Lytechinus pictus: one gene and its partners. The protein of the gene in region 1 purifies or fractionates together with the protein of each later gene. This does not show direct contact. Links are inferred from orthologs where the notes say so. Each region holds a gene or a part of one and is shown in the gene's direction. Other genes may lie near its edges. The genes, in order: symplekin-like, cleavage and polyadenylation specificity factor subunit 3-like and cleavage and polyadenylation specificity factor subunit 2-like.

Evidence for each region.
Region 2: the proteins of symplekin-like (region 1) and cleavage and polyadenylation specificity factor subunit 3-like purify together in Drosophila melanogaster (affinity purification with western blotting; 3 studies listed by BioGRID). This does not show direct contact. The link is inferred for Lytechinus pictus from reciprocal best matches to the Drosophila melanogaster genes Sym and Cpsf73.
Region 3: the proteins of symplekin-like (region 1) and cleavage and polyadenylation specificity factor subunit 2-like purify together in Drosophila melanogaster (affinity purification with western blotting; 3 studies listed by BioGRID). This does not show direct contact. The link is inferred for Lytechinus pictus from reciprocal best matches to the Drosophila melanogaster genes Sym and Cpsf100.

Annotation. Positions count from the first base shown.
Region 1 is NC_087251.1:31,989,457-32,000,360, reverse strand, and holds the start of symplekin-like, read left to right. Parts: upstream 1-5,676; 5' UTR 5,677-5,815; coding exon of another isoform or gene 5,816-5,915; 5' UTR 5,916-6,213; coding exon 6,214-6,303; intron 6,304-7,688; coding exon 7,689-7,811; intron 7,812-8,212; coding exon 8,213-8,286; intron 8,287-9,803; coding exon 9,804-9,936; intron 9,937-10,518; coding exon 10,519-10,628; intron 10,629-10,904. Other genes in the region: glyoxal reductase-like, read right to left, coding at 5,816-5,915. UniProt on the Drosophila melanogaster protein: Component of a protein complex required for cotranscriptional processing of 3'-ends of polyadenylated and histone pre-mRNA. Involved in germline stem cell transit amplification, differentiation and mitosis-to-meiosis transition.
Region 2 is NC_087250.1:4,453,999-4,464,753, forward strand, and holds the start of cleavage and polyadenylation specificity factor subunit 3-like, read left to right. Parts: upstream 1-6,555; 5' UTR 6,556-6,641; coding exon 6,642-6,712; intron 6,713-10,755. UniProt on the Drosophila melanogaster protein: Component of the cleavage and polyadenylation specificity factor (CPSF) complex that plays a key role in pre-mRNA 3'-end formation, recognizing the AAUAAA signal sequence and interacting with poly(A) polymerase and other factors to bring about cleavage and poly(A) addition.
Region 3 is NC_087251.1:22,716,971-22,727,733, forward strand, and holds the start of cleavage and polyadenylation specificity factor subunit 2-like, read left to right. Parts: upstream 1-6,480; 5' UTR 6,481-6,521; intron 6,522-10,763. UniProt on the Drosophila melanogaster protein: Component of the cleavage and polyadenylation specificity factor (CPSF) complex that plays a key role in pre-mRNA 3'-end formation, recognizing the AAUAAA signal sequence and interacting with poly(A) polymerase and other factors to bring about cleavage and poly(A) addition.

The DNA of each region.
Region 1 (10,904 bases):
CGCCGCCGCCGCCGTCGGAAAAGCGGCGCCTATAGTCTCACTCTGCTATGCAGGTGAGACAAAAATCGCAATCGGGAACGGCTGTATTTCGACTTTGATCTCAATGTCATTGTTCGAATTCTCAGTCAGATATTGCTTCCCTTCGCTTTGCCGTAAGTTTGATATGGACTGAAGTTAGCAACCAAAATCATGCAAACGTGTGATGAACAAACGGATGAGCTTTCACAGGCAAATCTTTTGGTCATGTTGTTTATGGACCTCGAAATGTGACTGATTGTGAGAGACTTGCTATCACATTTGCTAACAATTTCTGGCGGAGAAATTTGCTCGAAATCAGCCAGTGCGAAACTGTATTAGCAAAAAAGGCTTCATGAAACAGTTAGCGGACAAGTAGCTCTTTATGGGTCTTAGTTATAAAAATGTTGAGAAATGGGCCCCAGGCCAGACACTGCAGCTGCATTTTATGGTAGGGGGTCCTAAAGCTACGCACCACTCATCGCGCATGCAGTTTTTAATGGCAAATGCACACTCTGTGAGTGGAAATGTGACCGCAGAGTGACGAACGATTCCTATTCAATTTTTTCAACAGAGGCTGCAGTAAATCTCTAAATCAAAAAGGCAGAGAAAATCTACAACTGTTTGGAATTTTGGAGTTATATTCGCTTTAATTTCTTATTATCCTAATATGATCATATTTTAGAAATTGAAGCACAGGAAATACTATTTTTCTGCATGATAAACCAAATGCGTAGCTTTAGGACCCCTTCTATCTACATCGGGCGGCGGAATCAAGTGTTCGGAAAACACGGCGGGATTTTCGTATTAGAATTTAGTAGGTTATTTTCTTCTTGGTTAATGATCTTTAGAATGTTTGCCACAAATTAGTGAAAAATAATTTGTTCAAATATTAAAATTGGCATAGTTTTTATTATTTGTAAACAAAGTGCGTACCTTTTTAGGTCCCCCATCATACAAAATTATAAATCACAACAGGGTGTCCAGACGTCCCGTATTTCCCGGGATTGTCCCATATTTTGCTCTTTTGTCCCGGCAAACCCTTCCCGGGACGCCTATTTGTCCCGTATTTCAGAATATTGAACAAAATGTATTTCATACATTTAAAAGTGACGAATTTTCATCAAATAACAAACAGATGGCTAAGCAGAGACAACAATAAAATCGATAACTGTAAACTTCTGCAAGTTCTGCGGTGATTTTCTTGCTAACCCAATACATTGCAAACGAACTGGCCTCCTGCCTGTGTGTGGCAGGCTTCTAGCTAGCTAGGCATGTAGGATCAGAGCAGATTCTCAATGGTGTAAACAATCTTACATGATAAATAGTTTTTCCACCAAAATAATCACAAATTCGGCAGGAAAATAATTTTTATAATTATATTATGGATTATCAGATTGCTGATTTGGAGATGTAATTGGAGGAACAAGTTATTGAGTTTTCATAACTAGATCTAGTTGTTTCAGCTTTCGTTTTGAGTCTTGGTGTGTATGATACCGCGATGTTTCATCTAATTTTTAAGTTTGACTATGTTTCACTTTGAAATTTTATTCATTTCTAAAACATTTTAGTTTTTTTTATTTTAAAAATGTATTAAAAAACACACCAAATATCATTATGTTTTTGTTAGACGATTGGATTTGTTTTGTTTGCTTGAAGTTTAAACTTTTTTCTTCTTTCTTTCTTTTCTATCCTTCATTGTTCATCCTTCTATCCTTCCTGCTTGCCCTTTTTGTTCCATCTTTCTTTATTTCCTATATTTCTTTCCTGACCCTTTCTTTCTCTCTGTGTTCATTTTTTTTCTTTATTAAATATCCGTTTTTATTTGCTTCTTTCTTTCTTTCCTTAAACTTTTCTTTGCTTCCTTCTACCTTTTCTTTTCGTTCTTTCTCTTCCAATATTTTCTTTTTTCATTCTCTCCTCCCTTCATGATTCCCTTCCTTCCTTTCATTCTTTGTTTTATTTTCCCTTCTAATTCTTCCCCTTATTCTTTCTTTTCCTTCCTTCCTTCCTGTTTTTCTTCATTCTTTGTTTCTTTAATCTTACAAAGAATGAAGGAAACATTTTTCTTTCCTCCTCCTTTTTACTCACTTTCTTTTTTCCTTTCTCTCCTTTAGTTTGTCTTTGAGCTTCACAAATTTGTTCATCTTCCCTTCCTTTCTATATTCAATTCAAAGAATGATGGAAAAAAAAATTCTTTTATTCTTTCTTTTATCCATCTTTTATTCTAACTTTCTTTTTTTTCCCTTCATTTTTTCTTTCTTTCTTATCAATTCATCTCTTTTCTTTCTCTCCTTCATTTTTTCATTAACCCTCCCTTCCAATTCTTTAGTTTTTTTTTCACAAGTCTAACACTGTGTTATACTTGTGACTTTGTTTGTCGATTGTCCCGTATTTCATTTTGTGAAATCTGGTCCCGGGGGGGGGGGGGTACTTGACCAAAAAATTGGTAGGTATGTGCCGCGGGTGAGACAAAAACCGGGGGCCTTGGAGCGGACTTATCGTAAAAAAGGAGGATCCTCGTAAAGGGCTTCGAAACTAAAAATGTTTATGAAAACGGGGGTCCTTGGAACGGGTCACCCAGACCAGACGTCCCATATTTCCCGGGATCGTCCCGTAATTTGCTCCTTTTTCCCGGCATTCTGAAAAACCATTCTCGGGACAAAATATACATAATTATAAAAGTGACGAATTTTCATCAAATAACCAACAGATGACGAAGCAAATTTACTGTAAACTTTTGCGAGTTCTGCGGTGATTTTCTTGCTAACCCAATACAGTACATTGCAAATGATCTGGCCTCCTGCCTGTGTGTGGCAGTCTACTAGCTAGGCATGTAGAATCGGAGCAGATTCTCAATGGTGCAAAAAACTCACATGATAAACAGTTTTTCCACCAAAATAATCACAAAATCGGTGGGAAATTTTTTATAATTATATTATGGATTCTCAGATTACTGATTTGGAGATGTAATCGGAGGAACAAGTTATTGAGTTTTCATAACTAGATCTAGTTGTTTCGGCTTTTGTTTGAGTCCTGTTCCTGGTCTTGTTATTGATCGATACGAACTTGAAGTGGGATGGGAGAGATGCCTGTATGATGCCGCGATGTTTCATCTAATTTTTTAATTTGACAATGTTTCACTTTGACATTTTATTCATTTCTAAACCATTTTAGTTTTAAAAATATATTAAAAAACACCAAATATCATTATCATTATCTCCTCTATAACCTTCGGCGCATTCGCAAATACTTTGATCAAGAAAGTATCAAACTGGTGGCGCATGCTCTGATTACAAGTAAGCTTGATTACTGTAATGGTTTGTTGTTTGGAATGCCTGATAGTCTCATTTCTAAGCTACAAAGAGTCCAAAATTCATGTGCAAGACTTATCTACCGTGTCCCAAAGTTCAGTTCCACTACACCTCTTCTGAGAGAACTCCACTGGTTGCCTGTACATAAAAGAATTTCATTCAAAATTCTGTTAATTGTATATAAATCATTACCCGGTAATCGGTCAAGCCCCACATTACATTACAGAATTACTCAAACTTAAAACCCAATCACACAGTCGAAACCTGCGAAGTTCCACAGATAAATTATTGTTTCAGATCCCATTTCACAAAACAAAAGTCACACTTGGTGATCGTGCATTTGCACTTGCTGCCCCCAAACTATGGAATAGCCTGCCAATTGATATAAGAAGCTCTCCATCCTTGGCTCTCTTCAAATCAAAATTAAAAACATATCTCTTTAGTTAAGAAAATATGCTGTGTAGACATAAGTAAAAAGAGCTCTGAACAAGCGCAGCTGAATATATCCATATAAAAGCTGCGCTATATAAATTAATGCTTATTATTATTATTATTATTATGATTTTTGTTAGATGATTGGATTTTTTTGTTTGCTTGAAGTTAGAACTTCTTTCTTCATCCTTCTATCTTTCCTGCTTGCCCCTTTTTTGTTCTATATATCTTTATTTCCTGATCCTTTCTCTCTGTGTTCATTTTTCTTTCTCTTTCTTTCTCTTACTTTCCTACTTTTTTTTTATTTCCTTCATTCTTTCTTTCCTTAATTTTTTCTTTGCTTCCTTCTCCCTTCCTCTCCTTTTCTTTTCGTTCTTTCTCTCCTCCCATTCCTTTTTTTTTTCATTCCCTCCTCCCTTCATTCTTTCCTCCCTCTCCTTCATCCTTTCTTTATTTTTCCTTTTAATTTTCCCTTATTCTTTCTTTCTTTCTCTCCCTTCCTTCCTTTGATCTTTCCTTCCTTCCTTCCTGTTTTTCTTCTTTCTTTCAAAGAATGAAGGAAACACTTTTCTTTCCTTCATTTTTCTTTCCTCTCCTTTTTTTTCTTTTTCCTTTGGCTGTCCTTTATTATTTCTTTCACATATTTATTCATCTTCCCTTCCTTTCTTTTTATATTCATTTCAAAGAATGAGGGAAACCTTTTTTCTCTACTATATCCTTTCTTTCATCCTTTTATTTTTTTCTTATTTTCTTCATTTTCCCCTTCGTTTTCTTTCTATCTTCTCAATTCATCCCTTTTCTTTCTCTCCTTCATTCTTTCGTCCACCCTCCCTTCCAATTCTTTACATTTTTTCACAAGTCTAACATCGTGTAGCCTTCTCTGTTGATCTGTTTTAAAAATTAAGGCCTAGTTCTGTCATTCAGCTCGTGCAGCGTGCTTTGTCGATTGTCCCGTATTTCATTTTGTGAAAATTGGTCACCCTGGGGTCGCCTGCGTGTGCATCCCTTTGGAACAGGCATACGTGTATGCAGCTAGCCCAGCCCGCCGGGTGCGATCGCGCAGAGGCGATGGTCGGACAGCGCTCTGCGGCTGCTTTTCACCAAAATTGCAGCTCATTGTGGCGGATCAATGCTACTGGAACAGCGTAACAAAAAATATGCGAAGCTTTGGAGCGGATTTCTTTCTTCTTTTCTCTCGATAAGAAGAAAATGCTACGCTTCGGAGCGACTTTCTTAGTTTTTTTTCTCAATAAGACAGAGATGCCAAGTTTAAAAAAATGTTATAAGTGAGATTTTCATGACTCGGCGACTCTGCACGCGCGCAGCCAGTACTTACACTTGTACGTTTCGAAAAGGCACGCGCGCAACTCGCGAGATATGGGCTTTATCACGATATTGATCCATACTACAAAACCATGCGATGCACGCACGCGATTCATCGTATCACGTACTAGCTGTGCGCTGACTGCACTCTCGATTCGTCTCACGTGCCGGGGTAGACGCGACGGCATGCGAAGGCTTTTTCTGTCGGGTCCCGATGCGTGAGAAAAATGGGTGCCATGCGTGAGACGGACCCTCGATGCGCGAGTCTCACGCACAATGTTTGAGACTTGGTAGCTCTGATAAGATAAAAATGTCATGCCCTGGAACAGAAATTTGAGTGTAAAAATGGGGGTCCCCTCCACGGCACTATGCATTATATACTGAGTGCCCCCCCCCCCCCCCCCCCGGATCTATCATCTGGTCACCCTGAAAGTGAAAGGCCTGATCTGAATCACAATTTAACTGTTATTTTTATTTCATTGACATTTAGAATTTATGAAAATATAGATCTAAATATAGTCAACTTAAAAAGAATATATATATTTTTTTCAGAGATCTAAACCTTATTAAACCAAAGATTATGATAGCTAATGCACTTTCGTACCATCCGACGAAACCAAGCAGTGTTCCACAGGCACAGCCCGATTTCCGGCGCGGCTGCCGCTGGGTCGGATGTCGGGGACGATGTGACTGATGCGAAAGTGCACTAACGCCGATGATACCACACTTACGACCGAAAATAGGAAGTTTTGTCATTATTGTTGCTTCAAAACTACACCCAATGCACTGTTGTGATGTAATCGGACTGGAAAAATCAGCTGGTAGTTGCATTCGATCCTTTTTTTCCTGGAAAAGAGATTCCTGGTATGGGCAAAGGCCGAGGACGAGGTTCAGGTTCGAAGCGAGCGATTTCCCCGAGTTGGTTTTACAAAGAAAATGTTCTTAAAGATACCATACCGGTATACCGGCTGTATACTGTGCATGCATCACATGCATATTTCATGCATTATACATATGCGCAGGCTAGGCAGGGCAGGCGGCCACTGGGTTTGGAGTGAAATGAACTGAATTTTGTCTGCTCTGTAATTCTTCTTGTAATCTCACTGTTGCAGTACGTGTGAAAGTAAAAATGAGTGCCGGAAGTAGTAGGCTATCTGTAGCTTCACAATTTTTTATGGACGATGATGATGGAGGAGAAGGACAAACCGTATCCGATCGGGTGAATCTTTTTTTTCTCTCATTCTCAATCAGTCTCATTGTCTCAATTTTGTTTGAAAACTTGGGACAGTTTGGGAACGTAAACTAAAGTCAAGAGAGCACAAAAGTCTTAAAGAACTTGATGGTTGTTTATCCAACAAAGTAGACTATGCCGTAGGGCCTAGGCTATGTCATCATGGTCATACTACTAGCTGTTGATCCTCGGCCAATCAAAACGAGTCATGTCAGAAGACTCAGATTTAAAAAAAAATATGTTGATAAAATGGCCTATTTCAAAGCCAGGGATCCTGTGGCATGGGCCGTGTCTAGCGCTCAACATAGCCTTTCGAGACTAGCCTCCCCCTTTTGGCTTTAGAATCCAATTTCATGAATTGCTCATGTATGATGCCTCGTTCTAACACTAGTCACTCCACTACATTATTAGTATCATCATCATGGTGTCGTAAACAATTGTGACATTGTCACATTGGATTTGTAAAGATGTTACTCCCCCCCCTTTTTTATGTGTTTATAATTATAGAGAGTGAGACTAGGCCCTAATTTGTTTTATTAATTTGTTCTTATTTGTGTAAACAAAAGGGGTAACACTCCTGTCATGGTTGACTATATTTCAAGCCAGTGTATCCAGAAAGGGTTCTGGGATTCGTTCTAATTGTCAAAATTCAAAAGCAAGAGAAAATATGGGAGAAAAAAAGGAGAAGGGAAGGTATCAAACCCCCTTATTTAATCCGCTGACTACACTCTCGCTGCAGGGCTACATACATGTAACTGAAGAAACATAATGTAAAGCAAATGATCATTCAGTTAGGCCTATATCTTCTGTGATTTAAAAAAGTGAAAATATTGCCTTGTGTGCTCTTTCATGTACTGGTATACCAAGTTGGTGTGTGTGTGTCCCGATAGGTTGTGTGTTCGGACAATTGATTTTAAACAGTCATTTGAGAAAGTTAACAAGAAAAGTTTCATCAATTTTAAGTGTAGGCCTAACTATAAACGATTAGGCAATATTATTGAGAACAAAACTGAAGAAGTTTAAAACTATTAAATTCATATTTTTTTGTAATCCAAAGCCCCCCCCCCCAAGACTTCAAAGATTTAAAGTGTCCGGATACACAACCCCCATCCTACATGTAGATCTATTTCAATTTGGGAAACCACTCTTATTGAGTCATGCTCATTAGATTCTTAATCACCACCACAAATATATTGACAACCATCAGTGTTGACAACTATGATTAAATAATTTTGAATTATAATTTTTTTTTTAAATATATTTCTTAAAATTGCTATGTTTATCCAGACACATTATTTGTCATGTTTGGACATATTAATTATGTACATGTTGAGTAAAGGGGTTTTTGTGTGTTTTTTCTCCCTTGTCTACAGGTTGTTGACTTGCTGCAACAAACCCACACTTTACCCAGGGATTCTCAGAAGATCAACAACTTGACCCAAGTCCAGCAACTTATTATTGACAAGGATCCTTCTCTACTTGATAATTTTCTTGATGTAAGATTCCTTTGTTCTTTCCAAACATTACCAAATGTTTCTATCCGGCCATGTGTTTCAAACTTGACCTTAAAAAAAAAGTCATTTTTGTGAGGCTTTTTCAGTTTTTTTCTATATTATGTGAAGTTATATAACATATGCTTTGTCATCTCACCAGAAATATATCTTGGCTAACTAAACAGAGGTTTGCCATGACAATGATGTCATTTTAAAGGTGAATAAATTATACTCTTATGTGTCTGTATATATGATTTCATAAATAGCATGTGAATATGTGATACTTGCTTGGTAGGAGCAAAAATGAAGGTGGAAGGGGAAGTGGTAGACATAAACTTGATGATAGTGACACGCTTTGTGTGTTAAAACTGAAATAATGAAAGATTTTTTTTTTATCTGTGCAGGAAGTTCTTCAGTTTCAGTTTGATGATTCCATAGAAGTAAGGAAATTTGTACTCAGCTTTGCAGAATGTGCCTGGTAAGAAAATTACATTTGATTTCATTCTACTTTTATAATGCAAAATACCAAAGAATTTGTTGTTTTTGTCTTTGAATAAAGAAAAACATGGAGAACAGATCATCCCTTAAGAAAACTCTCTAATAAGTAAACAATTTTCCACCCCCCCCCCCGAAAAAAGAGTTTGACTTATTTCAAATTAATCTGCAAGTCCCATCCCACACGACCCTTCAATTAGAAAGGAATATTAAATTGATAGCCTCAAGAAGGTAGCACAGTAATTAAAGCACTGGTTTTTTTTGCCTTTTGAGGCTTTTTATTTAGGGCTGTACTTGTAGATCATATACATTTTAAGTTGACAGCCTATATATAATTAATAAATTTTTGTATATAATAATAATAATAATAATCCGTTTTTTATATAGCGCTTAATACATCGGAACGACGTGTCTAAGCGCTTTACAGATATATTATTACCCCGGTCATCGGATTCAATCAGTCATTCCCGCACACAATGTGTGCACATCCTCCACTCCCTGGGGAGTATTCCAGTCAGTCGCCGGTGAGGCGCACACAGTACTGGACAAGCTACAAAGACTTTCACATCCTACCGGGTACCCATTTAGCACCTGGGTCGAGAGTGGCAAAGTGTGGATTAACGCCTTGCCAAAGGACGCCAGACTGCGGTGGGATTCGAACACACGACCCTCTGTTTACAAGGCGAGAGTCAGAACCACTACATCACGGCTCCTCCACAGGATATTATTGTGTCAGTTATTTTAAAACTTCATGCATCATGTGTCCATGGCATTTAGTCAATGCTAGTTGCATACATCAATCATGAAAGAAACAATGTTATATCAGATGATCTTCGAAGGTTTGCATGGTGTTACAGATATCATGAAAAAATGTTTAAGGTTCACCATAAATGTGGTTAGTCCAGAAAAAGACTGCTGCTTGGTGGAGAGATAGAAATGAAAATGAAAGATGAGAAAGAAAAAGGTGAAAGTGAGAAGTATCTTTCATGATGATGGACCCTGGGTGATTGACAGTCAGGTTGCCCAACATCTTGAGACGCCTCAACTCTTCTACTCACCACTGCTCATCTTACCTGTCCCCTTTCATCTCCTGATCACCACTAGGACTTCTCAACTCATCTATTTATTTTCCACTTAACGCCATCAGGACTTCTCATCTAATCTCATCTGAGTCATCAGTCTCATCTGGTTTACAGTCCTTTAAAGGACTACACCTTGTTTCACAAAAGTTACTTCTCAATCTCACTTCTCTTTTTTGCTTTTCAGGACAAACCATATGGTGAATCGTATACCATCTCCCACATGATGCAGGGCTGCAAATTTTCTACATCTCATTAATTAATACATTTGATTTTTTTCATTAGATTGCATGTAATCAAGAAAGATCTCCCACCTTCCTCACTAAATTCTCCCTGAAAGATAAATTTAAAGTTAGCATCTCTGCTAATATTATATCATTAACTTTTTTTTTGTTTATTTGTTCATTTTTCCTCGATGCAGCAAGAAAGACAATCAGATTTTATGCACAGTGTTGCCTCGTCTTCATATGATGCTAACAGAAGAAAACCAACCTGCTGCGGTCATCAAGAGGGTCATTTTATGTACCTCTCAACTGTTCAGAGTGACCATCAAAGTAAGTTTGAAAAGTTCAGGGGGGGGGCTAATATTTATCTCAGAATGGTAATCCATTTTGCCTCTGTATTCAAAAGTATCTTTGATGGAGAAAATATTCCTGATTCCTTTTCAGATTTCTGTATATCTCTATCATAGTGAACAAATATTTTTTTTAATGTTTTTGTAAAATCTTCATTAGTGCAATTTTGGTTGTAGCTTCAATATTCAAACTGATAATTTTAAGAGTTTTCATTAGTTTTGTTATTTTGATAGGTCAATGATATTACTTGTTAACCATTTAACCCCCCTACCCCAAGAGAGAGAAAAAACATGATTGGATGATTGAAATTTCAGCATTTGCTACATTGAATCAATAGCAAGTTTCCATCATTTTAGGTCCAATGCATTTCCTGTTTCAAGTAACCAGTTTAGCTTTTATTCTGTCATATTGAGGAAGACAATAATGGCTCTTAGACATGAGAGTGAAATCCTCAATTTGATTTCAAATCACATTACTGTTTGATATGAAATCGAATGATTTGATTATGAAAATGGAAGAATATGATATGTTATATTTTGTGTTTTTTTATTTCTTTTGAAGTGGATAGCCGGTGTGAAAGATATTCGAGAGGAGATCGAGGCCGGCTGGGCATCTCTGATGTTGATGAAGAAGAAGATTGTATCAGAGCTATTAGATGATGATAACGATGGGTATGTATCTATTGAATGCCTTCATTTTTGAGCAGATACATGTATGCCACCATCTATTTGTTTAACAAATATTGACCATTGCGAAAGGATGATATTGCTTTCTTTTTCTCCCAATTCTGTTAATTTCAAACAGCAATGTACTGCAAGGCTTTACATGTCTAACTGTATAGATATAATAATGAAAGTCATGTTGAAGCTTTTACTGCACATGGGATTTTATATCTTATTTGCGTAACCCCAATTGTTTTGTAAGGAAAATCAATAAATGGAATGGGA
Region 2 (10,755 bases), on another chromosome or scaffold:
ACTTTTGTCGCGAACGTAAAAAGTCTGCGCGTTTTATGTGTAATTAAAGCAATTATCAATCAAAATTTATCAAGATGGAGGCTGAGAAAAAGTAAGGCCAATTTCACTGAAGGAGAGAAATTTACGCTAATAGCAGAAATAAGAGAAAAGGAAGACATTTGGAGACCCACGCTAAAATAAGACAAAATGCTTAGATGTTTTCTTAAGCATGCTTATCTCATTTATGGAATACGGGCCCAGTACCATAATGGGGTGAAAAGATGAACCATGTAATATATGCAAATTGTTAACGACAATTGTTATCACTATATAAAAGGTGAAAATGTACCTTAGGATGCAAAAGAGCATTTCTTTGGGCAAAATTTAATAACCATTTATGATGAAAAAGTGGTGGAGGGTGGCTGCACCTTTTACCACTATTAATTATATGGCGGGATGGGCTAGCCGATTGGGACATTTTTTTTCTCTCTCCCCCCCCCCCTTAAAAAAAATTGGCGGAGCAAAAAAAAGGGGAGAAATAAAAAAATGAAGGGGAAAGATAAAAGGAAAATAAAGGAAATTAAGAGGAGGGAGACGAGTGAATAAAATAAGGTGAGGGGAAGACTTGCGAAAAAATCTGTTATGTCACTATATAAAATGTTCTCTCGCGCTTCGCACTCGCATTGCCTGTTCGATGAGATTCATATTTTGCTCAATAGGCTGATACGGAGCTTAAAGGCCACCGCACACCTTACGACTGTTCGCGATCCGAATTTGGAACAAATAGCATTTTGCTCATTTTCTGAAAACGTGAATAAAACATATAATTTTATTTGAGGTTAAAATTAATTGAAAGAATACTAAAATCAATTTTAAAAGATTGCAAGCCTTTATTTTTTAGTAAAGGCCCAATTAGTTTCAAATCGTAGCCAATCGTACGACTGCTATGACGTCATTACGACTAGATATTAAATTCGCTTTTATTCTAATAAGGATGAGAGCATAGTCACAGATTTGAACATAGCAATTCGTATGATGATTTAGAACATAACACAGTAAGATATTCCAAGTCTCAATATTAGCATCAAATTCTACTTCATTTTATTCTGAAATCGGGTCGCAGACCAATCGTAAGGTGTGCGGTCGCCTTTAGATATCAAGTTCTGAAGTCAATATTTCTCAGTTCGGACATCGAGCTGACGAGCTTTCATATTCTTTTTTATTTACAACTTGATTTTTTTTTTTTACTTTGTAAGTGTTCTGTAAAATGTCCATTTTATGGTTTAATACATTTTCAGCTCAAGCTGCGCAGTTGCATTATTTGCTTTACCAATTTCCTATTGTCTGTGTATTCCATAGAGTTCTCAAAATATCCCTTTTCAGTTGGGCCATCAACTAGCGCTGCACGCTCGTATTTTATTGGTGCGTTATGTATACCTATTAATTCTATCACAAGCCACTAAAAATTCCCTTTTCATTACAGTTTATAAAAACAAATCGGCTCGCGATTTGCCTTCGCATTATTGTTAAAAATGTATTAACCCATGCGTCCTATTAGTGATTACAAAATTCTTAAAATGTCCAGTTTTCAAGCTTTAACATCAACAAAGTCCACGCTCTCATTAAGCATATTAATAAATAAGAAAATATCATTTTCATGAATTCCTAATAACTAAATTGGCCCTTTTTCAGAATGGAACATCGACATTTTTATATCGTGCTTCAATAGGAATGATAGGAAGATAGAAAGAAAAAATGTCCTTAGAATGTCCCGGTCCTAGATCAAAATGATAATTCAAAAATATCAGCCCGCGCTTCGCGCTCAAATCATTTATTAAGTGTGGTCCACATCCACATCGAAATATTCCTACACAGGGCTTCAAAAGATGCTTAAATTAAGAGTTTTTTATCAGATCGGAATAACGAATGTTTTCAGCTCGCGCTTCGAGCTCGCATTGTTGATCTTCATGATTAAAAAAATGTATTCAGAATTATGCCCAGATTCTAAGCCTAAATCTAGAACGCGCACACGCATGTTTATTGAGATAAGCAGCTTGTTCTGTATTCAAAATGTGTTTAAATTATCTAGTTTCAGAACAGAATATCAATAATTTTATGCTCGCGCTTCACGCTCGCATCATTTCCATATCAGATTCTATTAAACCTATTTTACAAATGTTTTGGAACTTGTAATTGATTTGTAATCATTGTTATCATATTTCATTTGTATTTGTTTATATTTATAATGTATCTTTGATTTGTATTTGCTTATAATGTTGATAATGGAAATGAAAAATAAAACTTGAACTAGCAAGATACCCAATAACCCATCTTTCTTCTTCTATTTCTCCTCCTTCTTCTCCTTCATTTCTTTTTCTTTCTTTTTTCTTCTTCTTCTTCTGCTTCTTCTCATTTTGTCTTTCTATTCTTCTTGTTGCTAATATTAAATTCTGATTTTTTTTTCCTTTGCGCTTTCATTATGTAAATAGTATAATTTATCATTTTATTATCTTAATTCTATAGTCATGTCGAGGAACCCACTGGAAATGAGCTTTCGTGGGTTTTCCTGTGCAAGCATGTTGTTTTTAATGCTACTGTTTATATGTTGTAGTGATTTGCCAAATAAAATCAATCAATTCATGATTTAATATTAATACAGTGCGTATAAAAAAAAGGGACAGATTTGAAAATTCTATAAAATTTTTGTTTCAAATTATAATGTCTATATTTTGGTGCTCTAAGGTCTTATCTTTCAAATGCTTTTGAAAAAAATTTAGTTTCGTTCATGCTTGAGCGAACACGGAATGTTTTTGTCTGGGGTTAAAATGGAGGCTTGTGCCAAAACGGCATAGAATTATAAATATGATGATCGGACTTCTTGCTAATTAGCAGACTTCCTCTTAACCTATTCATTATCTTTGCCATAATTTTTCAAATCATGCGGTCAAAATTCATTTTCAGATCTATTTATTTGCTTGAATTGTTATGTTGTTGTTTCTTTTTAATATGCTCTCTGTTAGCTTTTAATATTCCTTCTTCAAGCTAAAACAATTTTGTTTTAACGAAGTATGGGAGAGCGTGGATTTTTTTTTCAAATCCTTTCATTGTGTGCTACAAAGGTTATGGTGCCTTTTGAACAGTGCCACAAAGATGGGCGGGGGCTTGGGATGCTCCCCAACCCCCTTAATTTAAAAAAAATCATGACCAAGAAAAAAAGTGGACAGGAAATAAAAGGAAAGATAGAAAGTAAAATATGATATTATTTTCTAAATATTATGTCAAAATCTATCACAAAATTTGATATTGTAATAAAAAAGTGGGAATATTTGCGTGCTCACTTCGCTCGCTCACAACTTTTAAATACATTTTAACCGATCTGCCACATCTAGCTCCTTCAAAATTGACTCGATACACCATTGTCATTGAAAGACATGAATCCCTTCCTGTGTTTCCTGTCAAGCAATTAAACTTGGTCAAGGAATCAATGACCCTTTGAAAAATAGATTCATGTCTTTTAAAGGTACATAACATAATTTGTTTCACAATAATAAAAGGATTTGAATAATCACAAGTTTTCCCAATTAATAATACAAATCTTTTTGCTTGGGTTGACAAAAAATCTTCTTTTCTCACTTACTTTTGAAGGAAAATTAAAAGGTAAGAGAAGTTTAAATGAAAAAAACAAATAATTCAAGTAAATAAATAAATTTGTAAATAAAATTTGACAGCATAATTCGAAAATTGTGGCACAGATAATGAAAAGATCAAGAGGAAGTCTCCTGATTAGCAAGAAGCCTGATCGTCATATTACTCGTATTCTGCAATTCTGGCGCAAGCCTCTTTTTGAACCCCCAACATAAACGTCCCGTGTTCGCTCAAGTATGAACAAAGTTAATTTTTTTTAATAGCATTTCAAAGATAAGACCTTAGAGCACCTATTTACACCAAAATATATATAGACATTATAATTTGAAACAAAATTTTAAAGACGTTTTTTTTTTACTCACTGTAGAGTGTCTCGTTTTAGGTCTAAAATCTAAATTTTCGCTCGCATCGATCGTTAAGTTACATACAATAATAATAAATAATATACAGTTCTTGCATCAATTGTTTAGTTACATACAACAATAATAATAATATACAGTTCTTGTATAGCGCATATCACATTATGAATAATGTTTTTTACGCGCTTCCAAAGGACTTATTACCCCAGCTGTAGCTTGGCAGCCGTAATTACTAAGATTACAGCGCAAACGCATTTCAAGGAATAAATTCCTGCCAGGTACCCATTCACCTCACCTGGGTTGAGTGCAGCACAATGTGGATGAATTACTTGCTGAAGGAAACTACGCCATGGCTGGGAATTGTACCCACGACCCTCTGTTTCAAAGTCCGGAGACTTATCCACTGGGCCACAACGCTTCATAACGCTCCACATATCTATACCTATTCCTTTCATGATTACAAAAAGTGCTTAGAATTTTTTTTTTTTTTCAGGTCGGAAAGTCAAAAATTGTCAACTCGCGCGCTTCGTGCTCGCATTATTTGTTGAAACATAAAAAGTTTGGTAGCAAAAGGGGTTAGGTCCACTTTAGACCATTCCGAGAAAAATCATGTTTTTTATTCTCACTTATTGCAATATTCTTGTGAGAAACTAAATTGTCATGATGTACTACCCTAGCATGTGAACGTAAAATTGGGTATAAAAGAAATCTACCTGTCTTAAATTTTTACTACATATTTTTTTTTTTTAATATCATTCTGGACCCATCCCCTTTTGCAAGCAAATTGAAATGAATCCAATCTCTTTTGAATAAAAAAAGTGTTTTTTTTTCTTTGCCACTTTTATTCACGTTTTAATGTGAATTTCAAATTTTCTTTGGTATCATCGGACAGACTAAAAATTTATAGGTTTTGAGACAGAAAACAATAAAATTTATGAAAAATGGACCTAACCCCTTTTGACAAATGAGCTCTTCAAAAGAGTTTGGTTGCAAAAGGGAATAGATCCACTTCAAGATTTTTTTTTTATTCTCCCATATTGCAATATTCTTATCCAAAACTATATTTTTATGATACCCTATACCATGTAAACATAAAATTGGGTATAAAAGAGTGTTCTCATATTTTTTTTGAATAGGCATATTCTTTTCCATGTCTTTATGGACCTAACCCTTGTGCAACCAAACTGAATTGGACCTAACCCCTTTTGATAAAGGAAAATCTTTTCTTTGGTTTCTTATAGAGCTACTAAAAATCTATACATTGAGTCGAAAAAAAAAATGATGAAAAATTGACCTATTCTTTTTGCAACTGAGCTCTTCATGGGTAACTGTAAACAGTTCTTAACAGGTCCCTTTTCGATCAGGCCAGAACGTTAATTAAACATTCATGCTCGCGCTCGGCGTTCACAGTAATTACCTAGTTGTTTAGGATAAAAAACATTGCCCCTTACATTTTCATGACAAAATGCATGAAAGTAAACAACAAATTAGGTCGCGCTTCGCGGTTGCTCTTTTATTTATGGCTAATGAGGTTATTTCACTTGTTTTATAAGAATAAAGCTAGGAATTAGTGACTATATGAGGACTATTCCTTCAAGGCTTCAAAAAACATGAACAAACAAAAATCTACTTTAAGCGGCCGATCGGGGGAAAATATGGGTAAAATAATTTTGGGCCTCGCCTCCTATGGGACGGATCCGCCCCTTTGACATAATATATACACAAAGAGAATAAAAAATTTGCCCCCAATCAAAAAGCAAGGACCATACCCAGGAAAAAAATCCTAGCTACGCCACTGTAGGGTGGTGAAATTATCTTGATAAAGCGGACCCGCATGAAAAGGGAACATTTGTAAAATTAAAATTCAAGCCTTTTTTTTCGTTTTCATTATACTTGCAGTACAGACTAAAAGAAATGGTGCTTGTACTAGACGTGGTTAAAAAACCCAACAACAACAACAACACCAAGAATAACACAAAAAAACATCTAACATGTGGGAAAATTTCGAGATACATAGGCCTATCGCAGTATAGGTTTGACGAAATAAAAGAAACGTTTCTCTTAATTAGTTTTCCCCATCATTCCTTATTACTATTTTGCATTATTAGTAATACTAGTAATGCAAAACTAATAATAAGGAAAGATGGGAAAACTAATTAGGGAACCCATAACGTACTTGTAAAATTAATTCCCCTGTAGTGGTAAAGTTTATTGAATGAAAGTCATTCGTGGCGAAAATCATATCAAATCAAGAAAAACAAAACAAACATAAAACAAGTAATTAATTAAACGAAATAAACTCGTCAAAAGGCTGTAAGAGTTTAAACACGCAAGCTCAATGAGGTTTGGGAGAATATTGTAAAACCAACACCTTTATTTTGATGAAAAGGATTGTAAATCCCTTCATGATTTAAGTTTATGAAGAGCATATTGGGACGATATAGAAGTGGGGAAGTGTTAATGGAATTGGGATTAGAATAATTTCCTGTGAGAGCCAAAAAAATACAACAACATTTTCGTCAACCTCTAGCTCACAATTCGTTGCTCTAGCTAGCTCCCTGCTCGCTGATTATAGAGGGCGACATTTTCTTAATGATCGCGCGTGTGGATTTGTTTGTGTCGTTGAAATTTTATGAAAATCGCTTATAATTTGAAGCAATGGCTGCCAAAAGAAAGCCAGATGCGCAGATCCCAGAGGAGGAAAGTGACCGTTTGATTGTTCGACCATTGTAAGTATTTTTATTTATAATTTTTTTTTCTCTTGGGCTCTATTTTTTGCCCGCTATTCCAATGTCCCACCTATTCACTTTGGCGTTAGCTAACATCACTAATAAGAGGATTTACAGAATGAAGTCCTACGAAATTTACCAAACGATGTGAAGTCAATTTCTCCTAATATGATGAATAACCCTCAAATACATAGCGTCATTTAAGCGTTGATTTTCTTCTCGTTGACAAAATACGGCCCAACCTTGCGAGTTCTCAAATTTTTTGTCTAATATTGTCTAATGACATGTCGAGCGAAAGAGGGCGCGCGATTTATCTTCATAATCATATCAAAGACACTAGGCCTACTACAAGGGAGAGACTAGACACAAAAACTATCTTACACGTAAATCGATGCAAAGCGTTACGCGAAGTCGGCAAAGTGTCCAATCTTTTTACTGTAAAGACTTTGGCACTGGCAGTAGAGGCGCACGGCCAATATTGCACTCCTAGTACCAATGAGGTCCAAACATTACATGTATGGACCTCATAGGCGACATCAGTGATAAAACCGGTTAGACATTGCCGTTTCTATTTGCACCCAAGAACTTTGGCAAATGTACGCCTTAATACATAGTGGATGGTAACAATTTAGGTATTAATTAGTTTTAAACATGATAAGGAAACTTCTACGACATTTGAAATTTAATGGATTGAGGTTAAACTTACATTTTCAGTCTTTTTTCTTGAATTCTTGGTGAGCGTTCCAAACGCTGTGGGGACTGATCAACTACGATGTGATTCACGTACTGGTCAGCTGATCGGTCAGGTGATCGGTTGGTTATCTTTTTGTCAGACGTTCATAATTTATATTACAATATATCAATCTTCAGTATCTTGATTTCAAGCATCAGTATTGCAGGGAAAAGTCATTATCGATTGGAATCAATGGCAGATCGGGGGGGGGTTGAGCATTTCTGGCCCGTTCCACCTTTTGAGATTCATAGTCAATATTTTGGCACTCATTCAATGAACAAGGTTATGATATAACCTTGTTCTCAGTTATATCTCCATGTGTGGCAAAATAAGGATGGCAATGTTTGGCTTATTTTCTCTTTTTCTTTGGGAAAAATGCTTGATTTTTTTACACTGACAGTTTCCATCACAATTATTCGTTATACGACTTGGCCCTTAAGTAAATTTGATTCTTTAAATTATTTTTTCTTAATTAAAAATAGAGATTAAAAAATGACAATTTTCTTGCCATATTATTTTCTATCAATAGAGGGCGTACACAAAAATATGCCCAAAATTCAAGTTTTTGAGCGCTCTAGTGAATACAAAAATTATTCCCAAGTTACTAATGAAAAATAAATTGCAACTGTATGGAAATTAGTAATTTTGGTCATAAAAGTGATATTTTAATCATTTTTTAAAGTGTGTGCTGTGTACAGCATTGGCATGCCATAGTCCTACCTGTAGATTCTCCACAGGCAGGATGGTTGCAGTGAACAAGTGTATTTTGGATGTAAAAAAAAAATGTCGTTCGTACAAAGTTAATTCCCCCCCCCCCCCCACCTCCTTATGAGAATCACAGCAATATTTGTAATGGGGATATTTTGTTCATATTCTTTGCTCTTTTTTGTCCTTTTCTTTTTTGCTTCCCAAATTTATTTTACTTTGAACATATGACTTTCTATATTTAATGACAAACTTTTTTAGGGGGGTGGGGGCTTGCCAAATATAACGCGCGACAAGATGACCTTCTTTTTTTAGTGACAACTTTTTTTTTATTTGTCAAATTTTACGAGAGACAAAATGACCTTCGATCATTATTAATTAAACCTTTTTTTTGGAGGGTAGGGGGCTCGCCAAATAGTGACACACTTTTTTTTGTAAAATGTTATGCAAGAAAAAATGATCTTCAATCATTATCAGCTACCTTTCATTTTTTTTAGGGGGGGGGGGGCTTGTCAAATTTTACGTGGGACAAATGACCTTCATTTTTTAGTGATTTTTTTTTTTATACTTGACAAATTTTAAGAGGAACAAAATGGCCTTCAATCATTTTTAGTTAAAACCTTTTTTTGGGAGGGGGGCTTGCCAAATATTTCACAAACAAAATGAACTTCAATTTTAGTGACCATCTTTTTATTACTTTTAAAATTTCACGCAGGACAAAATGACCTTCACTTTTTTTTAATGTTATGTTATATCGAGATTTTTTACCTGACTGCTAAAAAAGCACGAATGCCTGTGAGCAAGCAACCAGGGGACCAACGGCTTAAGGTCCTCTCCGAGGGACCTGGTAATGAGGATAAGCCTTAAGGACGTTCCACAGTTATATTTGTGCGCATTATGATCTGCGCATAGTTTACACTCTGCGCGCTGACGTCACAATGGATGAACAGGTGATTAATTAGCTGCGGGTATCAGCTGATTTTTCTCATCTTCTGCACTTTAACTGCAGATCCGATGCGTTATTTCATGAAGCTAAAAAATTGAATTATTCCATGGACCATTCAAAAAAATATTCTCTACAATTTCAAAATACTTTACTCTGCAGTGCTGCCAAGAATCACGAATATTACCCCGAGTTTGAATAAATGGTAGAGTGGTTTTGATTTTTTCTTCACATAGATACTAAGCATTCGGCCCATTTTTGGTGTTTTAAAAGGCACATTTGCTCTAATAAAAATGCTGATAGTTTAAAAACAAGCACATGAACCCCTATTTTTTAATGTTTGTACCTCTTAGGTATACCTTCCTCTACAACTCTGCAAATTTTGGTGAAAATGACATGGATTTTGAATAAAGTGCAGCATTTATTGTACGTTTGTAGTTTGTTACTGAAATTTTACATTTTTTAGATTGGGATTTTGTTATCTTTTACGCCATTTTTAAGAACTGACAGTGCTGTTAAACTTAAAATTGCAAACAAATAGCACTATTAATAGATTCTCAATTCTAACGATACAATTATTAACTCTCTTGCGAAATTTGATGACTTTTTCATGTATTTTGACTGAGTAATGGAGGTTTAAACTCATTGTAGTAATCTTGGGCGGTCTAAAAATGCCAAATTCTTTTGAATGCGCAATTCTTAAGAAAATCAATTTGGGTGAACTTTGAAGCTCTATAGCAAAAAATCAAGCACATGGACCTATGTTAATTTTTGCATATTTCGAATATTAAGGTTCTAAAGTATCTATGTGCAAAGTTTGGTGAAAATGACATGGATTTCACTTTAACTGTGGAACGTCCTTAAGGGCACTAGCGCACCACTTGGGAATCGAACCCGGGTCACCGGAATCCGAAACCCCTGCTCTACCGACTGAGCCATCGCGCCTCTGATATGTTAAACTTGGGGGGGGGGGGAGGCTTGCCAAATATTACACGGACAAAATGAGTCTTTTATTTTTAGTAACCATCTTTTCTTTTTACTTGTCAAATCTTACGCGAGACAAAATGACAATTTTTCTGTGATAACCTTTTTGGGGGGGTTGTCAAATTTTACTTGAGAAATAGCACCCCCCCTACTTTGGAAAATCGAAGATTAAGATCATGAGTATAGCCTACATCTCAGAGGCATAAACAGATGGGGGCATGGCTGGCCATCCCCCGAGTGGATTTCACCTGAAAAAAAAACATAGGAGCAACGGAAGGAAGAAAGAAAGAAAAATGAAAGAAAGAACGAAAGGAAATTTAAAAAGGAAAGTAATGTGAGAACAAATAATCCGGGGGGGGGGGGGCTACTCAGATAATAAAAAAATCTGCCATCTGTAATTAAATTGGATTAGTTAATATCCAGAGGTCCCAGGGCTACCAACATACGTGTAGCGCGGGCAGTGCATGGCGTACCTAGGATTTTCCACAGGGGGGCAAAATCGGCCGCCAAAAAAAAAGGAAAAAAAGGCTCTTCAATGAAAAAGGTCTTCAATCGTACCAGAAAAAATTTGACAAGCAAAAAAAAAGTCTTCAAGCTCGCCAGGGGGGGCAAAATAGGTATTCAAGCTCGTCGGGGGGGGGGGGCAAAATAGGTTTTCAAGCTCGTCAGGGGGGCCGG
Region 3 (10,763 bases), about 9.3 Mb from region 1:
ACCATATTGACACAAAAACAAATACGTTGCTATATATATAGATCTAAGCCTGTGAGGCCTATGTAACCGGTAATTTGACGATGCTAATTCATTCTGAGCAACTAAACGTGAATGCTTACGACCGGCACTGGTCGAGGCAAAGTCCACGCGCATGCGTACTCTTAATCCGAAGACGCAATTCATGAATATTCATATGTTGGTCCAGAACTCGGTGGGAAAAATAATTTCGCGCCCCGGGGCCCGTTTCTCAACACCTGGACAAGTTAGTCATATCTTTATCCACCAACCACGGAGTTAGTTCCAATCTTACTATACCTGTTTCACGAAAGGCTTCCTAACTAGAATACCTTGATATCGATACTATTGGTAAAAAGAGCAGACGAGACGTAGCCTTAGTCACAAAATAGCATAATTTTCAAAAAGAAAAATTATGACAAAATTGCAAATATTGTGATAAATTGGGGAATACATCTTTTCAAAATAATAGCACAAGTAAATTATGCATCATACATACTTAGACAATGAAGATTGGAGCATTCAATTGCTGAGAAAATTAAATTATGAATAGTTTATTTCATGATTAGAAAATCACATGTGGACGTTGAGATGGGTACCCCCGTGACATCAAATTTTACTAGTATACGAAAGTAAACCATAACGGTTTTCTTTTTAAAATGATGATAATTATACGCCCTTCTACGATTACAAACATCATCAAAATATAGTTTAACAAAACCAAAAATAAATATTTGATACCGAAACATACGATTTGACAAATTATATGCATAAATTAGAGATAGAATTTATCCAAATGTTAATAGGGGTCTGAAAACAACAAATACGAATCCAGTTATGGATGGCCTGACGTGGTAGAATCTTTATCGATTAAATCATTGTACTATTTCAAAGTGAATGGTTTTGTGGCGTTTTACCAAACAGTTTTTATAGTTTATTTGTATTAGAATTATCATTGAATGCATTATCCCACTTTTTTTGTGATGTAATTTCAACCTCTATGATTGATTACGTAAGATTATTATTTTCAAATTTCTAGGCACTTTTGCATGTCATAGTCTACCCACGTGATGCCACTACGTCATTGAGAAAGAAGTTATGACAGGTTCGGAGGTGTCATAAATATTTAGTGAGGTTGTTGTACCCGATCTTGGTAAAGAGGGCTTCGTGAAACGGTTAGCGGACAAGTAGCTCACTATCTCCGATTTAGTCAAGATCTTAGACTTATGACGGTGTTGAGAAACGGGCCCCTGGCTCGCGCCAGGCCTAATTCGCTTCGCGAATTAGGAAAGCCCTCGCTTCGCTCGGGAAGCAGCCGCCAGGGCCTCGACAAGAGGCTAGTGAATACCGGCCATGATCGGACACGACGGACAGCGCTCTGCGGCCGATTTTCACCAAAAATTGTAGCCTCTCGTCGAGGCCCTGGCGGCTGCTTCCCGAGCGAAGCGAGGGATTTCCTAATTCGCTTCGCGAATTAGGCCTGGCACGAGCCAGGGCCTCTTGACATCTGATCTGAATTATTCATGAGGAACGTCATCCTAATGAATATACATGAGTTGTAATATCACCGGTCACTATAGTAAACCAATGAAATGTCAAAGCTGTTTCGTCCGGGGTTCGGAGTACTATAGTAGTCCACTATTCTGCAGGGGATTCAATTAATTGCGGGACACTAAAGGGGATATAACCAATGAAATGTCAAAGCTGTTTCGTCCGGGGTTCGGAGTACTATATAGTAGTCCACTATTCTGCAGGGGATTCAATTAATTGCGGGACACTAAAGGGGATATAACCAGCAAAATGCTACAAGCAGTGGTACTACTACTACTACTACTACTAGTACTGGCCGTAAAAGACTCATCACCGCCCCGAAACTTTCCGGGAGATACTGGTCAGCCGCTGGTCAGACTCGAGTCAAGGGGAAACAACTCTACTCCAGCATTCCCTCACTGCACCGCGGAGAACGATAATCGACACACAGTGGAATCGCATGAAAGATAACATTTTTTCCATATCTAGCTGTGGGTAGATTTACAAAAACATCTCGTCCTTTCAGTGCAGATTTAATTTTATCGACTTGCAAATCCTTAAATCGGTCAATATTCAGCATTTTAGAGGCATATTCAATGCTCTTTGATGTTTCGTCGTCCGCCAAGGTGTTGATTATGAATGCATTGTCGCTACATTGTACAGCGCGCGGATATCCGTTTATCCGGCCTCTTGGCCGTGTTGTTAATAAAGCACACACTCCCACTCAATACTCCGTCTGGTAAATTATCTTTTATTTTATTAATACTGGCGTGGTGGCAGCTTGTGGTCTGAACCTAAGGCCCTAAGGTGATCCTACCAACAGTCCGATAATTCTTACTCTAAACAAGGGGCCAGGCGCTCCGTTAGCCTAACGGTGATAGGTTTGAGTTCTTTTGCATTTTGAGTGTGTGTAGTCCCTTCAACGTATATTCATGTACAGTATGAATAGTTGCTCGACGATACATGTGGGCGTGTCCGCGGCTAAGGGCACCGCCTCGCGAGAGAGCGTGGCGGTTAACAGTAGAATGGAGCAGTGTTCCAATCCTTGTAACTCAGTTATATCCCCATATTTCCATGCTGTTGGCGGTTATGACTATAACTATGAAGAGAAAGAAGTAGAAGTAGAGATAAGGAGTGCGTGTGAGGTGAATTTAATCAGCGAATCAATGGCAGAGACATTGGGATTGGAGATAGTGATTGATGAGATGATGATTGAAGAAGATTACATTGAAATAATACCTAAATATGTAAACAAGAATGGTATCATTGGCCTGACTTATTTCTCACTCTTCTGTAATGGCCTAGAATTACAATTTGATGGTTTGGTTGTTGAGGATGATGCCATGACAAATACTGGAATTATTGCTGGTGCCCCATTTATGGAGGCAAATGACATCTCCGTTAGACCAGCTAGGCATCTGATCACATTCAGTGATGATTCTGTTTTCATCTATCATAGTAAACCAAGTGGTGTCATGAGTGACAAATCTTTAGTATGCAAGAATACTCGTGTAGATCTAGATCAGTCTACTCATGATGATGTTGATCCTATGCATGTGGTGTCTAGGCCAGACCCCATTGCTATAGTCCCAGGGAATTGTGAACAAGATCTTGGTGTCTACTCAGATGAGAGTCGGCTGAATCTGAGTGTTGTGTCTAAGGATGTCCAGTCCTCCGAGTCTGAATGTTCCGCCAATTGTGTAGAGTCAAGTGGGGTTAGTCAAAACCGACCGAACAGGAATCTCAGTGAAGTTGTTCACATTACTCCTCTAGTGAATGATGTTGTTGTGCATAGGCCTACTTCTGATATTGTGCCTGATACATCCGACAAGTTTCGTATGCCTGTCTCGAAGGCTCATTCTCATCTGTCAGGTTCTGGTTTGACCTACGAAGAAGTGCAGTTGCCTGAGCTCGATGATTTGCACTCGCCCGTTTCGGCCTGCTTGTTGCACAAGCCCGATTCTATCGTTTCGCTGCTCATGTCCGATTCTCACGTTTCGCTGCGCTTGCCCGATTCGTTAGATGATAAGTCATGCTTGCCTCATTCGATCGTTTCGCCGTGCTTGCATGATCCAGCAGCTGATCAGTCAAACTTAACCGATTCGGATCCACTCAACAAACAGCGCTCGTTCGTTTCGCTCGGTGACGATTTCGTGGTTGAGTTGGAGTCGAACATCTTGACATCTCCACACTCACCTGGTCATTCACACACGACACCCCACAAACATGACACATCACAATCCTCGTACAATGATCCTTATATCGGTACACGATACTTCCAGTCACATGACCAACCACACACTGATAGCCTAAGAAATCTTCCTCCGGCCATTGTTCGTACCATAGAGATGACTGATAACCACCCTTGTCGCTACCCACCAGATTCTGCAGAAGTCATCCCTATGAAAGTAACCGGCGATACAGTCCTTGACTCAGAGTTGCCAAATCATGTCACCTTTGATTCCACCCCAAAGAAGGTAGCCTGTTGCGCCGATGGACACGACTCTCCGTCACTAGCCCATGGTGCCCGTGACCGTGGTCCTTCAGTAGAGCAAAGAGCACTTGATCACCGTCCTCCATCTTTAGCCTGTGGTACCCATAATGACAATTCTTCATCAGTGACAGTAGCCCATGTTGCCCATGATCACAGCTCACCAGAGACAGTCACCCGTGGTGCCCATGGTCACAGTTCTTCAGTGACAGTAGCCCGTGATGCCTATGATCACGGTTCCTCAGAGACAGCCCTTGGTGCCCATGATCACGGTTCCTCAGAGACAGTAGGCCGTGGTGCCCATGATCACGGTTCCTCGGAGACAGTGGCCCGTGGTGTCCATGATCACGGTTCACCTACCTCGAGAGCCCATGGTTCCCTTGACACTGACCTTCAGATGACAGCCAGCCCTACTGACCATCCTCAACTGACGGCCTGCAGTTTCACTGACCCTCCAGGGCCCCAAGCTGATGACGGCATACTTATGTTACCGGCCCCTACTCCATTTGCCATTCCTCAGCTGAGTAGTCCCACACCCATCTCTCCTGACATCCCTGAATGTTTTAGTAAGGTGCCTCTGCCCCTGTCTCACAAAGACAGTAGCCCGCCCATAATTCCTAATCTTTCCCAACCCACAGGTTCCAGTCCACATACGGCATCCTATATCTTTCAGTCAGGTATCACCCCCGATATCCCAGCAGCGGTTGATGACTACCCGAGCCAGCCTTGCCTGTTTACCACAGCCCATGACCACCCTCCAGAATTTTCCCCTCTCGTACGAAAAGCCCTGGACTTTCATTCCCCTGCCCCATTGCTAGTCGTCCCTTTAGACCCCCCATCTACCCCATATCATATGATTTGTGCTTATTAGGACTGGACCTTACATGTTGTATGTGTTGACTTTTTGCATGTACATTTTTTAGGTTGTACTCCATTAAACTGCTGTTTATCCTGATGTTGTGTATTTTTTTTTTTTCGTCAATCTGGCTTAATTGTTTTTTATTATATTTAATGTACTTTCTCATTTTCCCCCCTTTTTTAACGTGTATTTAGACACTGTAATTAGAGTTAACTGTTGATTTATGTTTTGGATAATCGCTGAGTTTAGGATGTGACTTTTTCATTGATTGTTGATGTGTGAGTTAGTGTATTTGATATTTGCTCACTTGTTTATTACATTGGAGGTAGACAATGTGCTGAGTATTACTTGACTGGAGTGACTGACATGGTTGTTTCATGAATGAGGGTAAGGTGTAAGGATGTACCATGATGCAGGTTGTTATGTGTTCCTATGAAGTGAAGGTGGGATGAAGAGATAGAGTGAAGAGGTAGAGTGTAAGGTGCAAGAATGTACCATGATGCAGGTTGTTATGTTTCCTACCAATATGAAGTGAAGTTGGGATAAAGAGATAGAGTGAAGAGGTAGATTGTAAATGACAGCTGATGCTAAATGAGAGGTAGCAGAACTCATGTTTGATTTAATGTATTGTTTGTACTGTTTACACCAGCATACAGTTTAATTATGGAGTAGTGTTTTGATAGTTTATTGACAAGCAATCATTGGTACAAATATAATCCTCATGTTTTGGTTTGCTATTTTGCCTCACATTAATGTTTAGATTTGTTTATTGATGCATATCATATCATCATACCTGTCATGTATCTGTTATTGTTGTTTTATTATCAATCTGGTATAGGCATTTTGAATAAATTGTATCCTCCTTTGATGGTGGGATATTGTTTGTATTTGACTTTAACAGTGCATTTATGTATATATGTTATGTCAATTGATAGGCAGGATTTATTATGTATGCAGGCAATTTTATTATTTGAAAGTTTCTTGCTCTTTATGGATAAGAATTTGATTGGAGTTTAGTATGGCTTCATTTATCTTTTTAGAGTGTCATTGTATTTTATTGCTGTGTTTTATTATTTTAGCAGACTTGCCTCATTCACCATTTTTGAATGGATATTAAGGAGATTAAGATAAAATGTCAAATGATGTATATGTGTCTTTTAAAGCTGCTTAATAATGAGGATTTGTAATGTGTATTTTTGGATGATTGCTGAAGTTTAATGGGATCTTTTTATATGCAAGTTATATGCAAGTAGTAATGATTTGTATGTTGAAAGACATTTGACTGGTTTTTAGTTTGTAGATGATTTAAAGTGTTGAAAGGCAATTTAATATTTTATGCTGTAAAGAGGAAGTAAAACAAAATGAGATCTGCTTAACAATCTTAGATATGTTAGTTGGTGATACATAGAATTGTGTTATGTTAGATTTAGTAGAGTTGTTCTTGTTACTATTGGTTGGATAGTTTAGATAATGAGGGAGAAGAAAATATGAAGGAAAAATGAGTCACGCCAAGGTGTTGATTATGAATGCATTGTCGCTACATTGTACAGCGCGCGGATATCCGTTTATCCGGCCTCTTGGCCGTGTTGTTAATAAAGCACACACTCCCACTCAATACTCCGTCTGGTAAATTATCTTTTATTTTATTAATACTGGCGGTCACTCTTCGCCAAGAATCCACGGGTCGCCATTCAAGATGAGCTCATGAATATTCAATATGACGTCATAGCAGCCCGCGCTCTCATTGGATGATTTTCACCGACCAGTTTTTGGTCGGTATATTCATGTATTGGTAAAAACAATAAAATAAGAAAAGAAAGTCGGTGAAATTCGGGTCAGATGTCAAGAGGCCCTGTTTCGCGGCGCTCTGCTTCGCTCTCTCCCTTGCTTCGCAATGTTCGCTCGGAATGTTCACACTGTTCGCCGACAGGGCCTCGACAAGAGGCTACCAAAATTGTGGCTCATTGTAGCGGCCGGAACAGTGTAACGGACCCGGGGGGGGGGGGGGCACTTCCATCCACGAGTGGATACCATGCGCGACCATGAGATCTCAAAAAGCACCCTAATGAACACGTTTATTTTCTATATTCTGAAAATGCACCCCTTAACAAGTATTGACGTGTGAAACCCTACCCTTAACAAATATTGGAAACAAAACGATGCTATTGGCAAGTATTCCCTGAATTGAACCCCTAAACAAGTACAGCGATATTTCAATGTTATGTCACGGACGTCGGTCGTCGGTTTTACCTTTACCTACATCATTGCTATGGGTTTAGTACAGCCAAACTCGCGCAAATCGTACTCCTGGGGCAAAAAGTACATCCTTTATATGACATTTTAGTCTTGATTTTTTATACCCTCGCGAATTTGACCCTAAACGCGTAGTTTTCCTAGCAAAATAGATACCCTTTTTCACTATTTTAGTGTTTTTGACACCCTTATTACGTTACGTACGTAACGCGCCCTATCTTGAAACCCTGAAAAAGACATCCTTTTACGTGTTTTTTTGGTCGCGCCCGGGGGGGGGGGGGACACATCCATTGACGAGTGGATACCATGCGCGACCATGGGGTCTCGAAAAGCACCCTAAGCACGTATTTTCCATATTCTGAAAATGCACCCCTCAACAAGTATTGGCGTGTGAAACCCTACCCTTAACAAGTATTGGAAACAAAACGATACTATAGGGAAGTCTTCCCTGAATTGAACCCCTAAACAAGTACAACGATATTTCAATTGTTATGTCACGGACGTCGTTCGTCGGTTTTACCTTTACCTATCATTGGTTAAAGGGATGGTCCGGGCTGAAAGTATGTATAGCTCAGTAAATAGAGCAGAATTCACTGAGCAAAATGCCGAAAATTTCATCAAAATCGGATAACAAATAAAGTTATTGAATTTTAAAGTTTAGCAATATTTTGTGGAAACAGTCGTCATGAATATTCATGAGGTGGGCTGATGATGTCACATCTCCACTTGTTCTTTTGTATTTTGTTATATGAAATTAGGTTTATTCAATTTTTTTCCTCCAAGAACTAAAATAATTGGATTGAAAACTGATTTAGTGCATTAGATATTTATTGCTGCAACTTATTTCATTATAAGGGAGACATATTATTCACACAAGTATGAAATAATGAAAAAATTATGATTTTATGTAATAACATAAGAAAACGGAAAGTGGAGATGTGACATCATCAGCCCACCTAATGAATATTCATGACGACCGTTTTCACAAAATATTGCTAAACTTTAAACTTCAATAACTTCATCATTTGTTATCCGATTTTGATGAAATTTTCGGCATTTTGCTCAGTGAATTCTGCTCTATGTATTAAAATATGAATATTTTCAGCCCGGACCATCCCTTTAAGTACAGCCCCACCTCCCATGCACACCTCGCGAAAATCATACTCTAAACACGTAGTGTTGACTCTTGGGGAAAAAGGTACATCCTTTATTAAACATTTTAGTCTTAATTTTTTATACCCTCACAAATATACACGTAGCGATCCTAGCAAAAATAGGCCTTTTTTCATTATTTTAGTGTTTTTGACATCCTTATTACGTTACGTAAGTAACGTGCCCTATCTTGAAAAATACATCCTTTTTACGTGTTTTTTTGGTCGCGCATGGTATCCACTCGTCAATGTAAATGGGTCGCGCTTGGTATCCGTCAATGTAAGTGCCCCCCCCCCCCGGGGGGGGTAACGGAAAATGTGCGAAGCTTTGGAGCGGATTTCTTTTTTTTTTCTCGATAAGAAGAAAATGCTATGCTTTGGAGCGGCTTTCTTTGTTCTTTTTCTCAATAAGACAAAAATGCTATGCCTTGGAATGGAAATTGGAGTGTAAAAATGGAGGTTCCCTCCGCGGCACATACCCACTATGCATTATATACTGAGTTCCCCCCCCCCCCAGGGATTGGTCCAATTGCCATTCGTCCATATCCATATATTTGACTCAGTGTTAATTCATTGGGCAAAGTGAATGAAAATGAAACAGGTATAAGAACAACTGGTTATGAGACGAAATGTTCATAGACGAACTGGTGATTAGATGAATGATTGGATCGAAATGGCTATTGGACCAAAATGGTTATTATACGAAATGTTGATGGACGGAATGGCATTGAATATATAAAGTGAAACATGAACATAATACATGTTGATAAATTAAAATTGAATTGAATCATTCATTTCTATTTCATTTTATTGTCCACATGGAAATGAGTTTTGCTCACATTATAAACATTTTTAACAAAGTATTATAGGCCTATATACACTAGCGTACCTAGCGTACCTCCCCCAGGGCCTACGACCCGACCTGCATGCCTACACATACAAGCCACTGCTTTGGCCACCTCCTCCTCCTCATTGTAATGATACGAGATTATGTTGTGCTAACTGCATCATAGTAAACAGTGGCGTACCTTGGGTCACGGCATGGGGGGCACCAGCAAACATTTTTAGTCACTTAGTGAGCGCGCGAAGCGCGCTCAGTTGCCAGGTATACTGACCTAATACATGTTATAGAGACATTTTAAGGACAGTGGCGTTAAACGGATATCTCACTGATCAAATAATGCGAGTGCGAAGCGCGAGCTGAAAATTTAGGAAATTCAGACCTGAAGAGGAGCATTGTTTGTAAGAATTCACGAAGACCATATACGAATTTTACTACCCAAATTATGCGAGCGCGAAGCGAGAGCTAAAATTTTTGTATAAATTTTTGTATAAATTGACCCCAAACAGGAATATTTTAAAGACTATTTTTTAAAGGAATCATATCTCACCATAGTCATCTAATTTGAGTGCCAATATAAGCGCTTGCTGATTTTGTTAGAATTACATTTACACAATGACGCACTTTTTGTAGTCATTGTAATCATGATTATCATACGCATCTCACTAATCAAATATTGCGAGCGCGAAACGCGAGCTGAAAATTAAGGAAATTCAGACCTGAAGAGGGGCATTCTAAGTCTTGTTAGTAGGAATTGACTGAGACCATACGTTTTTCACTAACTAAATGATGCGAGCGCGAGCTGAAAATTTATGATATTCATATTAGAAAAAGGGACATTTTAAGGACTGCACAGCAAAAACTGTGATGTTAACCGGTGTACATAGAGGACCACACCAGTTATTTTACACCGGTGTTGAATTGGTGGTGTTAGTTTTACACCTATAGGTGTCATTACAACACCTTTGATTGTTACATTTACACGCTTTGGTGTTATTTTTAATCTCTAGGGTGTAATTTTAACACCTCACGGTGTGGTCCTCTATTAACACCAACTGGTGTCAGTTTTAACACCGCAGTTTTTACAGTGTGATTTTAGAGGAATTCATGAAAAGCAGACATATCCTCACCAATCTACTAATGCGAACGTAAGCACGGACATGAAATGCTTTATATTAAACTTAAAATGAGGCAATCACTTTAAGTAGTCATGAAAAAGAAGCTTATGTCACTATATAAAACAATAATAACTCGAAGTGCGAGGAAATATATTTGATGTATATTGACTTGAAAACGGAAGGTTTTAGTACAACATGATTATATATCTCGTTAAACAGAATATGCGAGCACCATGAATAATGAAGACATAATTAAGCCCTGAACAAATTATGTTTCATAAAGTTATGAAAAAATGTTTCTTATGTAATATAACATAACATAATCATCTTTTCCTCTACATTTCTCTTCCTTTCTCCTTTCTCCCATCCGATAGGGGGGGGGGGGGCGTGCCCCCCATGCCCCCCGTAGTTACGCCACTAATAGTAAATATGAAAAATCGACAAAGATTAATTGAAATGAATGAAATTGAAATTGAAATCAAATTGCTCATTGAATATTCATGAA